3 linked regions of the Oryctolagus cuniculus genome follow. The protein of the gene in region 3 interacts with the protein of the main gene of each other region in a pairwise test. Links are inferred from orthologs where the notes say so. Each region holds a gene or a part of one and is shown on either strand. Other genes may lie near its edges. The genes, in order: TUSC2, small EDRK-rich factor 2 and RBPMS.

What was found.
Region 1: the proteins of RBPMS (region 3) and TUSC2 interact in binary tests that used the Homo sapiens proteins (3 or more experiments, as listed by UniProt). The link is inferred for Oryctolagus cuniculus from reciprocal best matches to the Homo sapiens genes RBPMS and TUSC2.
Region 2: the proteins of RBPMS (region 3) and small EDRK-rich factor 2 interact in a two-hybrid assay, tested with the Homo sapiens proteins (2 studies listed by BioGRID and IntAct). The two-hybrid records come from large-scale screens. The link is inferred for Oryctolagus cuniculus from reciprocal best matches to the Homo sapiens genes RBPMS and SERF2.

What each region holds. Positions count from the first base shown.
Region 1 is NC_091441.1:98,988,400-98,993,141, reverse strand, and holds TUSC2 (tumor suppressor candidate 2), read right to left. Parts: upstream 3,018-4,742; 5' UTR 2,846-3,017; coding exon 2,694-2,845; intron 1,655-2,693; coding exon 1,534-1,654; intron 1,388-1,533; coding exon 1,322-1,387; 3' UTR 216-1,321; downstream 1-215. Other genes in the region: RASSF1 (ras association domain-containing protein 1), read right to left, coding at 4,395-4,541. UniProt on the Homo sapiens protein: May function as a tumor suppressor, inhibiting colony formation, causing G1 arrest and ultimately inducing apoptosis in homozygous 3p21.3 120-kb region-deficient cells.
Region 2 is NC_091438.1:8,271,793-8,275,216, forward strand, and holds small EDRK-rich factor 2, read left to right. Parts: upstream 1-1,516; 5' UTR 1,517-1,575; coding exon 1,576-1,755; 3' UTR 1,756-2,074; downstream 2,075-3,424. UniProt on the Homo sapiens protein: Positive regulator of amyloid protein aggregation and proteotoxicity. Induces conformational changes in amyloid proteins, such as HTT, driving them into compact formations preceding the formation of aggregates.
Region 3 is NC_091433.1:80,541,321-80,545,962, reverse strand, and holds part of RBPMS (RNA-binding protein with multiple splicing), read right to left. Parts: intron 3,522-4,642; coding exon 3,371-3,521; intron 1-3,370.

The sequences.
Region 1 (4,742 bases), on a different chromosome or scaffold from region 3:
CGACTCCACAGGGAATACAGAGCGCCCAACAGCAGAGGGCCCCGCCCATCTTGAGGGAACCTGCAAGGAAGTCTGTGAGGACACAGCCACCTGCTGGCCACAGCTGGGATGGCCACAGGCTGGGCTCAGGTTTGCCTTGGGTCCTTGCTGGAGACAGGGGACCTCCCAGGTGGTAGATACCCGGTGTCCCCGCCCCTGAGGACGCCATTCTCATGTGCAGGATCTACAAATAACTTTATTGAACTTGAACAAATAACACAACAGTCTTCCAATGCTGGGCGCCACCCTCCCCAAGTCATTTCCCACACTCTGGAAGCACAGAGCTCACACAGTAAGGAATTAAAAAAAAAAGTCATCTTTCTAGAGAAACCAGACTCTGCCCCAACATCGTTCTGGACTAGACTATTTACAAACCTTCACATTTTAAGTATTTCTTTGCGCGTTTCCCCTCCTTTCTATCCAGTACTTAGTCTTGCTGATCGTGAAGAGGTCCAGGGCTTCGAGGGGGTGGTGGGTTACTCACAGCTCTTGTACCAGGGATCAGCCCTAGGGATTTGTCCCTTACCACAGAGTAGTAAACAGCCCCCTCCCACTTGGGGGTCGGGGGGCTGCTGCAAAGGCAGAGGGGATGAGAATAGGTGGGTTGGGCAACTCCCCACAGGCACAGGTGCAGCCCCTCCTCACCCTGGCCTGTGCGCTCTCAGCTGGGGGCGGGGGGAAGGATCAGTCTCTATTCTTATCAACAGCCTGCAAACTCTCCGTTCATCGAGGGTGGGAACAAGTGGCAGGTAGGCAGGAAGAATCGGGCTGGTGCTGCCCCCAGTCTCTGTCCAACACAGGAGGAATCGAGGTAGCAAACGGCTGAAATGCTCCGACTAGAGGGAAGGGAAGTGCGGGGAAGGAAGCTCCCACTTGTGTAGCCCCCACAGCCCGGGGGCTGGAGGAAGGCAGATCTTGCTTATAAAGTGCTGTAGCTTCTAACAGGGCTGGGCCCTGGGCAAGCTTGGAAGAAAGCAGGCCAGGCAAGGAACCAGGCACCAGGCTTTCCTGATCAGTGGACGCCCTGCCATGCTTCCTGCAGGAGTGGCTGGGGAGGGTGGGCTGCTAACTCCACAAGTAGCCTTTGCCAGCCACCACCCACCTGCTCCACATACAACCCGATTTCCCAGTCAACACTGCACAGCCCTGCTCACAGCTGAAGGTGCTGGGCCAACAGTTTATTCAGGGCTGTGGCCCCACCTGGGCTCCTCACTGGAAGCTGCACCTTGAGCCTGGGGTGTCTTGCTGGGGCAGGGGTACTTGCGTCTGCTACTCCCCAGGCTCACACCTCATAGAGGATCACGGGGAAGTCCACGTGGATGCGAGGGGGGTCCAGCTTCACGAGGCCCTGCCGAGGAAACAGGCTGGTGAGGGGCAGCTCCGGGCTCCGCTCCAGAGAGCGTTTCTGTTCCTCCCACCTCCTCCCCCAGGAGCCCCATCTGGGTCTACCTCCACACACCTGATGGAGCTCCATGGCCCTGCCCAGCCCCTCACCTGAGGAATCAGATTCTTATGTACCCGCCTCAGCTTGGCCCGCTTCTGTCCATTCTTGGTGACGATTGTCTCCTCATAGAACTCGTGAGCCAGGTCCCCATCCTCATCGTAGAACATGGAGCTGGAAGGAGAGTGGAGGGGGCCGGCGGTTTGGCCTGATGGTTAACCTGCTGCCTGCAGCGCCAGCATCCCGTACGGGTGCCAATTTGAGTCCTGGCTGCTGCACTTCTGATCCTACTCCCGGCTAATGTGCCTGGGAAAGCAGCAGGACATAGCCCGAGTGCTTGGGCCCCTGCACCCAGGTGGGAGACCGGAAAACACTCCTGGTTTCTGGCTTCAAACTGGCCCAGCTCCAGCCATTGTGGCCCTTGCCTTCACGCGTGACTTCTAGGTAGGTGAGGTGGTGGCCTGGGCGTGTTGGTGTCACTCCAGAAAAGACTACTGGCTCAGTGCCAAGGGCTGAGCCAGCAGATGCCTGGGCTAGGAAGGAGTAGAAACGGGGGAAGCCTGCTGCCTGTTCCACCGAGTGGCTGATGCTTCCCAACGGCCACTGGTGTGTCCGTATCAGGGAGAATGGCCGTCTCCAGGAGCCAACTGGGGCCAGGCCCATCTGGTGTCCCTGTTTGGGCCCCTAAGGGAAGCGACAGGCCTAGGTCGGTGCTCTGTATCTGGAGAACGTAACCGGTGTCAATTTTTTCTTCCTCACCTTGACGCCCCAACACAAGTCCAGGCCTGCTTTCCCAGCCACTAACTACCCTTAGTAGTGCGTACCCACCCCTGCGGAAGGTACGCGGTCTAAACAGAAGGTCATTCTCCCTTGGAAGAACTGGGGGAGGGAGAGGCTAGGGGCTCTGAGCTTGCACGCTGAACTGGAAGGGATGAAAGGGAGAGGCCCTGAGGTCTCACAGAGGCCTTACTTCAGCTTTCCCGTGTGGACAGACCACGCAGAGCCAAGGCTCAAGCCTACGCTCCCCCAGGAAGAGCGGTCAGACCATTAGATTCTACTGGCCCGGCTTTCCCCACCCCTGGTTGGACGGGGGCCCGCAATTTGGGAGTTGTCCTGGTTTGGGTGTAGGGTGTTGTAGCGGAGGGCGTTCCCGCGTCGCAGAACGCCCGTCCCCCCCGGCCTGTCCCACCCCGGGTGGAACCCACGGCCTTACCCGCGGCGCGTGAATACGAAGGGCGGCACGGTTCGGCCTCGAGGCCGCACCAAAGCTTGCTCTGCACCCGCCGCTGCCACCTCCGGGCCGCCGCCCCCCGCCGCCGAGGCGAAGGGCCACAGCCCCCGAGCTTTGGAGCCGGTGGCGCCCATGTCAGGGCCGCCGGCGCATGGCGGACCCCGCGGCCGCTCAGCTCTCACAGTGCACTGGGAGCCACCATGCCCTGCCCCAGCCTCCGCTCGCAGGTGCCACCGCCGGCGCCGCCTTCCGCAGGCTCGGCTGTCTCCACGGAAACCTCACTTCCGTTTCCGCCGGCCACGCACGCTCCCTCTTCTGATTGGCTGCTGCGCCCATCCGTCCGTGGATTAGGGCCGCTGTCGGCTGGCTGGGGCTGGGCATCCCGGCATGCACTGCGAGACGCAGGTCCCAGCAGGCCGTGCTGTCTGCAGCAGGGGCTACTCCCTCCCAGGAAAGAGGCGGTGCTATGTGGCTCTGAAGACCCCTAGCGCTGCCCCGCGCCGCGCCGCACCGCGCGCTTAGATAGGAGAACCCGCTCAGACACGGAATCCCTTCCAGCTGCTCTAGGCGGGGCTGCAGGGTGCCTGGTTTTTGCCACCCCCACTGGCACAAAGGAAGAAACTGCTACACACTGAGGTCTAAAGAACTTGTGTTACTTCCCCAACCGCCAGCGTTCATTCTTTCGGAAAGCACTGTGCACCAGTGAGCTGGTCCACAGTAGCGGATCCGTACCTACTCGGATGCAGGGCTAGGCCAGTCTTCCTGCGCTTAGCATGCGTCCAGAAGCGATTTCCCTCAGCTCCAGGTGGAGCTGGTTTCAGCCCTCCTCCAACCGGGGGACCAAGTGAGGGCTGAGCACACACCCATGCTCACGAACCTTCATGGACTGGTCCCGTGTGACTTCTCAGAAGCTGCCCCGAGACAGTATATCCGCCGTGGCAGCTGCGGGCCCACAGTAAGACACCAAAATCGAGAGGATCCGCAAATCTTTATTCAGCCAATTCTCTCAGGCCGTGATGACGACTGTCCCCCACCCCATTCCCCACAGGAGGCATTCGGCTGAGGCCACCAAACATGACATACATTCACACACTCCATCGGAAATACCTGAAGGGGAGACCCCGGCTTTGACCTGCACACAGGTACGGTCCTGGCCCCGTGCCCACATTCACGCAGACCCTGCTCCAGGGCCAGCCTCCCGCGCGGAGGCACCGAGGCACTGTCACAGCACTGGGCGCCAGCACTCCCTGACCTCAGGTGTGGGAGGAGTCGGAAGGCCCCCCAGAAGGAACCGTGGACTCTTCCTGGATACCTGCTTTTTCTGAGCCCCCATAGATGAAGGCCCTCACCCCTGCAAACATGACCTTGTGTGGTCTGCAAGGTCCCCAAAAGTCTCATCTTTGAGACTCAAATTAAGGCAACTTCTGTCTGTTCCGCCCCTGCTACAAGCCTAGGGCAGCCCTGGCTCCCTCCAACCCAGTACAGGACGGGCTGAGGGCTGCAAAGCCAGGCCCCGCTAAACCCGCTGCTGGACACGGGGCCAGCCCCTCGGCTGTCGGCTCGGCTCCTTCTCCCCAGGGCAGGGCCTCCCCCCGCACTCACGCCTCAGGCCCCAGGGGCCCGGTCACACTCACACAGCACACGCTGGGCGCTGCCTACTCTCCTGCCATCCAGGGGTCACGGTCACCCCACGGGGCAGGCGTGCAGGGCCTCCTGGATCTTCTGCCGGCAGCGGGAGTACTTCTGCAGGATCCGGCGGAGGTGCTCCTCCTCCTCGCGCTGCAGGATGCGCAGGAAGTTGTGCAGCTCGGGCATGCTGAAGGCGTCCCACTGCAGAGGGCAGAGCACAGGCTCCAGCAGCTGCAGCCGCCCCAGGGAGGACCCGGACCCCGGGCCGCACCTGCTGGCATCAGGTGTTCCCCCAGGAGTCTCGTGCCCAAACAGCCTGCACGAGAAGCCCACCAGCTGTCAAACAGAAGCCAGACCTGACCAAACCGGCACCCAAGCAGGCTTTTCTCCATGGGCCCCAAA
Region 2 (3,424 bases), on a different chromosome or scaffold from region 3:
AGGCGGGATGGGTGTGAAGAGACGCAGGTGCAGGTGGTCACAGCCGCACTGCTAGAGAGCAAACGCGGAGAGAGCAGTCAGAGACGAAGGACATGTTAACGCAGGGGGAGATGGCACCAGCGGCTGCTAACTCCTCCATTCCTCAGGAAAACATCTTTACAGGGCCAAAGGAAGAAAACGCCCTCTCTGCAGCTACTGAAAACAGCCTCCCAGAATGAGGCGAATAAGGACGTTTTCGGTGAATAAAATTAAGAAGACTCATTATCAGCACAGCGTCTGTAAGAAATGAAAAAGTTCCCGCTAAAGGAAAATACCCAGTGCGAGTGACAGTCAGACCTTTAGGAATGCGTGGCACTGGCAATGACCATGAGCTAGGTAATAGGAAAGACTATTTTCCTAATTTTCTTTAAAATACTTATGACTATTTGATTAACAGATTTGGGGGGCCAGCACTGTGGCACAGCGGGTTAAGCCACCATCTGCAGTGCTGGCGTCCCATATGGGCACCAGTGCAAGTCCTGGCTGCTCCACTTCCGATCCAGCTCCCTGCTGATGTTCCTGGGAAATCAGCGGAAGATGGCCCAAGTCCTTGGGCCCCTGCACCCACATGGGAGACCTGGATGAAGCTCCTGGGTTCATGTCGTCAGCCTGGCCAAACCCTGGCTGTGTGGCCATTTGGGGAGTGAACCAGAAGATCAAAGATTCTCTCTCTCTCTCTCTCTCTGTGTGTGTGTGTGTCTTTGATTCTTCTCTGTAACCCTTTCAAATAAATAAATAAATCTTTACAAAAATAAATAAAAATATGGGGCCGGCACTGTGGCATAACAGGTAAAGCCACCGCCTACAGTGCTGGCATCCCATACGGGTTCAAGTTCCAGCTGTTCCACTTCCGAACCAGCTCTCTGCTCTGGCCTGGGAAGGCAGCAGAAGATGGCCCAAGTCCTTGGGCCCCTGCACCCACATGGGAGACCTGGATGAGGCTCCTGGCTCCTGGCTTTGGATCGGCACAGCTTTGGCCTTTACAGCCAACTGGGGAATGAACCAGAGGACAGAAGACCTCTCTCTCTGCCTCTCTGCCTCTTCTCTGTGTAACTCTGACTTTCAAGTAAATAAATAAATCTTTAAAAATAAATAAATAAAAAGATTACCATAGATAAAAGGGGCATTTTTGTAATGATCAAAGTATCAGTTATTTAGGAAGCCATTCCAATGGTAAATGTCTACGTTCTAAATAACAGAGCCTCTGACTACATGTAGCAGAAGTCAAAAGGAGAAGAAAAACAGGCAATTTCACAATCCCAATAAGAGAATTGTAATCTGTATCTCTCTTCCTCTCTCTCTCCATCTCTCTCTCTCAGCAATTAATAGAACTAAACAAAAAGTCAATAAAAGACAAAAGGGTTGAATGACTTTATCAACCACCTTGTCTAACCCATTATAGAATATGACACTGTAAAATCTTAAGTGTGTATGGTGTGTTCACCAAGACAGGCCAGATGCAGCCCTCAAGAAATTAGGAAGGCGGGAGAGAACGAGGGGACGCAACGGAGGCAGGCCGGAGCCGCTGCCGTCGCCATGACCCGCGGTAACCAGCGTGAACTCGCCCGCCAGAATAATATGAAAAAGCAGAGCGACTCGGTTAAGGGAAAGCGCCGAGATGACGGGCTGTCTGCTGCCGCCCGCAAGCAGAGGGACTCGGAGATCATGCAGCAGAAGCAGAAAAAGGCAAACGAGAAGAAGGAGGAACCCAAGTAGCTTTGTGGCTTCGTGTCCAGCCCTCTTGCCCTTCGCCTGTCTGCCTGGAGCCAGTCCCACCATGCTCGCGTTTCCTCCTGTAGTGCTCACAGGTCCCAGCACCGATGGCATTCCCTTTGCCCTGAGTCTGCAGCGGGTCCCTTTTGTGCTTCCTTCCCCTCAGGTAGCCTCTCTCCCCCTGGGCCACTCCTGGGGGTGAGAGGGTTACCTCTTCCCAGTGTTTTTTATTCCTGTGGGGCACACCCCAAAGTATTAAAAGTAGCTTTGTAAAAAAAAAAAAAAGAAGAAGAAGAAAGAAAGAAAGAAAGAAAGAAAGAAATTAGGAAGGCATTAAAACCATACAAACTTTAAAATATGACCGCAATAAAGTTAAATTAGAAAGAGTTGTGGCACAGCGGGTCCGAGCTGCTGCCTGGGATGCCGGCATCTCATATTGGAGTGCTCGCTCAGGTCCCGCTACTCTGTGCTTCTGGTCCAGCTCTCTGCTGATGTGCCCAGGAGGCAGCAGATGGGAGCCTCAGCACGTGGGCTCCTGCCACGCACATGGGTGATCTGGATCGAGTTCCTGGCTCCTGGGTGCTGTGGTCATTTGGGGAGTGATACAGCGGATGGGAGATCTCTCTCTCTCTCCCCCCCCCTTCATTTCAAATAATAAATCTTTTTTTAAAAGATTTTATTTATCTGAGAGGTAGAGATACAGACAGTGAGAGGGAGAGACAGAGAGAAAGGTCTCCCATCCACTGGTTCACTCCCCAGATGGCCGCAATGGCTGGAGCTGCGCCGATCTGAAGCCAGGAGCCAGGAGCTTCCTCTGGGTCTCCTACATGGGTGCAGGGGCCCAAGGACTTGGGCCATCTTCTACTGCTTTCCCGGGCCACAGCAGAGAGCTGGACTGGAAGAGGAGTAGCCAGGACTAGAACCGGCGCCCATATGGGATGCTGGCGCCGCAGGTGGAGGATTAACCAGTGAGCCACGGAGCTGGCCCCCAAATAATAAATCTCTTTTTTTTTTAAATTGCAAGCCAGGGACAGGGAAATATATTTGAGAGCAGAGTAGAAGTTCACAGGCACGAACGTGAAGGCTTCTTGCCATGATGATGTTGCCGGAGGAAGCTGATCCTAAGGAGGAGGCTGGTCCAGACAAGCTCCCTGGAAAGAGCACCTGAACTCAGACCTCAATGATGAGATCCAAGAGAGAACCTCGAAAATTCACGGAGGTTGCATAGTCTGAAAAAAATAAACTATGTATGAGTTCCAAAAAAGTTCTTGCATCCAAATAATCTTTTAATTCCCTTTTGAAGTCCTCAAGGGAACAAATGAATGGGTTATAGGTTGAAGAGTGTCTCTCCGACAGGTGTTGGAGACCGCACACTATGACCTCCTCTGGCAGCGTGACCTCCACAGAGGTAAGAGGTCAAGGTGAGGCCAGAGCGGCTCAGAGCGCCTGCGGCTATGCAGGGGCCCTAGCACAGATCCGCAGGGGCAGCCCTCAGAGGAACCGACCCCCGAGACGCTTCGATTTTGGACTTGTGGCTGCCAGAACCGTGAGACGACACATCTGTGTAGCCAAGGTCACAAGTCCTGGGAGCCAGGGATAAGAGGGGTGACAGCTCCGAGCTGCCCAGTCCGACTCCTGTTAAGGAGCCACAGGCTGAGTGGCCAGGCAGAGG
Region 3 (4,642 bases):
GGCAGAACTGCCGTCTGGGGACTGCAGGTGCATTTCGGCCATCCTTGCAAACACAAATGGCTACAGTGACACGATGACGACCCCTCAGAAGACCAACACCCGCTCTAACTAAGCGGCACTGCACAGCACACATGCACTGGTACACGACACACAGTAGGCCTGCGTCGTCTTCAGTGCAAGCCTAAGATACTGCTTCACTTAGTTCTCCAATCCCATGAGGAAAATATTATTTGCATTTTACAGGGGGCGGGAACGGGCGCACAGCAAGGTTAAACATTTTCATGATAGGCTGAGAAGTTTGTGACTAGCATGCAGAGCCAAAGCCTCCTTGACAGCTTCCAGCCTAAAGCCCAGGCTCTCCACGGAAGGCCGCCATGCAGCCCGGGAAGTTCCAGCACCTGGTTCCATCCCCCTTCAAGCTTGGCGGAGGATGCGCTCAGCAAACACGCCAGTGCAGTCTGGGAGACAGACTACACTGCAGAATCTGTGTCCTTTATGCGGGGCCAAGGTTTTCTCTAGGGAGCATCACTGGCTCCTTGGACTAAACGCTGTCATGGCATCGGCGAGTCTCCTTCTTCTCCAGGGTCTAGCACCCTGGATGCTCACGTAAGCTCGAGCGACTGCTTGTTGGACAGCCGAGTCACAGAGTGTTCTTTCTCCCTTGAAGGATGGCAAAGAGCGCTCTGCAGTCACTACCGAATGACAACACTAACAAGCAGCCGCATTCGGAGAAACTTCTCCTGTGGCCCAGAATGGAGAAGCCTGAATTCAGGGCTCTGTCAGTCCTAGGACTGTGGGATTCCCTCACAGACCACAGCTGACAGGGGATCAACTAAGCACCCCGAGTGCCGATCGTGTGCACTGGGCAACCCGACGGGCCCACGGGGACCCATCACGGTGGTCTCGCCCTGCTGTGCCTCCAGGAAAGCCACTTGTCTGTGCGTGTGACATGGAGTGTGGCAATCCCCAGGAGGAATGCAGACGGCCGATAAGGCTGCTCTGAGTCACAGCGGGGTTGCTGATCAGGGCCTCTATGTCATGAAAAGGAGCTATACTGAGAGAAATCACACTCGCTTTATTTTCTCGAGAAGATACTGTGAGCTGTCTGTATTTCCTCCCTTTTCCCTCAAGTCTGTCGTGCTAGGAGGAGCCAGGGAGCTTTTGCCACTGCCCAGGCACCGAGCAGACCGTTCCTGGGCTGCTCCGAGTGCAGGGGAGGGTGGGGGGTGGGGTGGGCAGCACTGGGGCTCTGCCCCTCGCTCCGGTTCCACGGCAGGCACCTGCGGGCGGGCAGTGCGTTCACCTGGCAGCTTCTGTACGCGCTGCCTTGAACCAGCTGCTGTCTCCCCTGCCTGCCTACTGCACAGGGCTTCGCCAGCAGATCCAAGAGACTTCTGACATTTTGAAAAGAAAAGCAGCAAAGGAAAGGATAACATTTCAGGTTCGCTACTGCTCCCCTTTCTGTCTGAACCAATCTCTTCAAAGGTCTCAGAAATCTGATGCAGGCAAATTCACTAAAAAAGAAAAGACTTACTCCAGGTTAACTTCTCTAACTGAAGGCGTTCTAAAAATACTCTTTTCTAGGCAGAGCATCGTTGTGTAGCAGGTTAAGCCACCGTCCGCACCACCTGCATCCCATATGGGCACCTGTTCAAGTCCTGGCTGCTCCACTTCTGATCTAGCTCCCTGCTAATGTGCCTGGGAAAGCAGTGGAAGATGGCCCAAGTGGTTGGACCCCTGCCACCCACGTGGGAGACCTGGAAGAAGCTTTGGGCTCCTGGCTTTGGCCTGGTACAGCCTTGGCCGTTGAGGCCATTTGGGGAGTGAACCAGCAGATGGAAGATCTCTCTCTTGCTATGTCTGCCTTTTAAGTAAAATAAAAAAGTACATATCTTAAAAAAATACCCATCTAATGCCTTGCTCAAGAGAGAAAATAAAGAAGTAGACAAATGTCTCCTTAGTTCTATAAACAGCCAAATCTAAATCTCAATTTATCTACTCAGTGTAATCCACCAGTATTAAATATAGACAATATACAAAGCACTGGGCTACCCCTTGAAGACTTATGTAAGGAATGCCGGGTAATCCCCTGTATGGCAGCGGCACTACGAAATGCAACTTTTGTTTAGACTTCCTTCTCCAAGAGGTCTCAAGTTTCCCTACAACGTGGAAGAACAAACTGATTTTTCTAACTTTTATGTTAAAACGCGCTGGGGGAGAAGCTCTTATCTATGACTCTCCACTGACACACTCAGGCTTTTAAAAGACCAAGTGAGCTCAGAGTGACTAACTTCCACCATGACCTGATTAACTCTGACAGGAGCCCTTCAATCTCAACACGGAGAGCTGAAATGTGTCCTCAGGGAGAGCGGGAAGATGACCGTATTCACATGGCTCAGCAGGAGGATCTGCAAGGTGAGACAGAGACGTGGCCGCTAACGACAAGTCACGCGGGCTTCCTGGGGTGCCCTGCCCCAGCAGGCCACGCGGGACTCCGCAAACTGAAAAGGAAAACGAAGATAAGCTATTCAAAGGCCAATGCCGTGGTCTGGCCATTCGGCTGAAGCAGCTCATTAAGGCTTAGCAATTAGCCAGCGTCCTTACCCGGTTCATTTAAAACAGGAAGCCCTGAATTTCCTTAAGGCTTTGCTAGTGTTAGTCCACCAGAACTAACTGTTCAACTACAGGGATTCTTTGTGTGTGATTACTTTTCCCCTGAGAGTTATGGCTAAACTGTTCTCAAAAACAGAATCTCCTAAGACCCGCCTCTTTCACTTTTTTCCCCCATTTATTTGAAAGGCAAATTGGTAAGAGAGAAATCTTCTATCTGCTGGTTCGCTCCCGAAATGGCCACATCAGGGGCACTAGCACTTGGGCTATCTGCTGCTGCTTTCCCAGACGCGTTAGCAGGGAGCTGGATCAGAAGCGGAGCAGTGCTTGTATGGGATGCTGGCACTGCTGGCGGTGGCTTAACCTGCTCTGCCACCATGGCGGCCCCACCTCTTTCACTTTTGATAGACACAGAACTGATGCCTTTGAACACAAGGAGAAAAGTGAATGCTGAGCACCAGCTCCGACGTCCAAGGAGCGGGGGAACAGAGGATTCCTACCGCAAAGCAAACAGGGGCGGACTCACAGTGGTCAGCATCACACTCGGGAAACCCACTGCACAGCAAGCGCGAGTTTCAGGGTATGGGTTCTGCTCAGGCCACACCCTCTCCGGGGCAGCCGGTCACGACAAGAATGCTGGGTTTGGAACTCAGACAGGCGGAGAGGACAGGAGACTCCACGCCCAAGGAGTCACCTCACACACAGCAGCCCGTGCACAACCCCTGGCTTCTCTTCCCAAAATAAAAGTGGATCCACTTACACGGCTCTCTGGCGATGAACTGAGGTACAGTGTTGGGCAGAGGAGTGCTGGGGTTTGGAGTCCCTACTAGTTTGTTCTTGGCCATCTTCGTGTTTGCCTTAGCAAACTCGAGTCGTAGTGTTTGCGGTATTTCAGGATCGAAGCGGATGCCCTTTGGAAATAAAGAACAAATGGGAGATGTTTTCATTTCCTTCGCGTCAAACCGGATTGGTGACAAAATAAACACACCAGCACACCCTGGCCTGTCCCTAAAAAAAAAAGGCCAAGGAGAGCTCTCACTCTCACCGCTTTCAGGGAAATACACAAAAATGCACAGCACGGAGGGTCCAGAAAAATCAAGGAATTCAGCTTAATTACAAACTTCAGTTACCGGGATTTTCAACAAACTCCTTTTTTCTGGGAGACAAAAAAAAACAAAAAACAAAACAAAAAAAAACACCTTTCTGGTTCAATTTTCAAATTTTGGGTCAGCAAATTCCTAGCACCATTAACAACTTTGAGGAACTGGCCACCAGCAAGAATGAAAACTGTGACTGATCCCACGAGAACGAAGTACTGTGTAGCTCTGACACCTGGTATCCAGGAGGCTGGGGCGGCCACCGGCGTCCACACACTGAAGGACAACAGAGTTAATTTCTCAGTGCTCTTCATTGCCTATAGGTGGAGAACAAGATTCCCACCCCCTGTCTAATCACGGAACTTTATAACGGTAACACAAGTACTCTGCGTTCCTCAGGAGACAGGAATGAAATGGCTGTCAGATTTCAATGTAACAAATGTCCTTTGATTCCAGTTAGCTTATAAACTCATATAAAATCTAAATGCCTTGCTGTAGCAAAGCTCTGACTTTGATTAGAGTTGGCTTGCTGGCTGCAGAAAGATTACACAGGCCAAAGGGAACAGTAATTGCCAATTACCCTTGATCCTATTATTGCAGTTCAGCAAAAACCAATCACATTCAACAAAACCAACCACTGACACTGTTAAAAGACAAGATTCAGGCACAGCAGGTTAAGCTGCTGGCATCCTGTATCCGAATGCAGCTACCCTGCTTCCGACCCAGCTCCCTGCTAACGTGCCTGGGAAAGCAGAAGATGGCCCTGGGCCCCTGCCACCCACGTGGGAGACCCCGATGGAGTTCCAGGCTCCTGGCTTCCGCTTGGCCCAGCCCTGTACACACATGGACCTGAGGGCACCGGATGTCCTCAAGGATAGAGTAAGAACTTCTCATTCCGTAGCCCAGGACTGGGCGACTCTGCACGTCACAGGCTC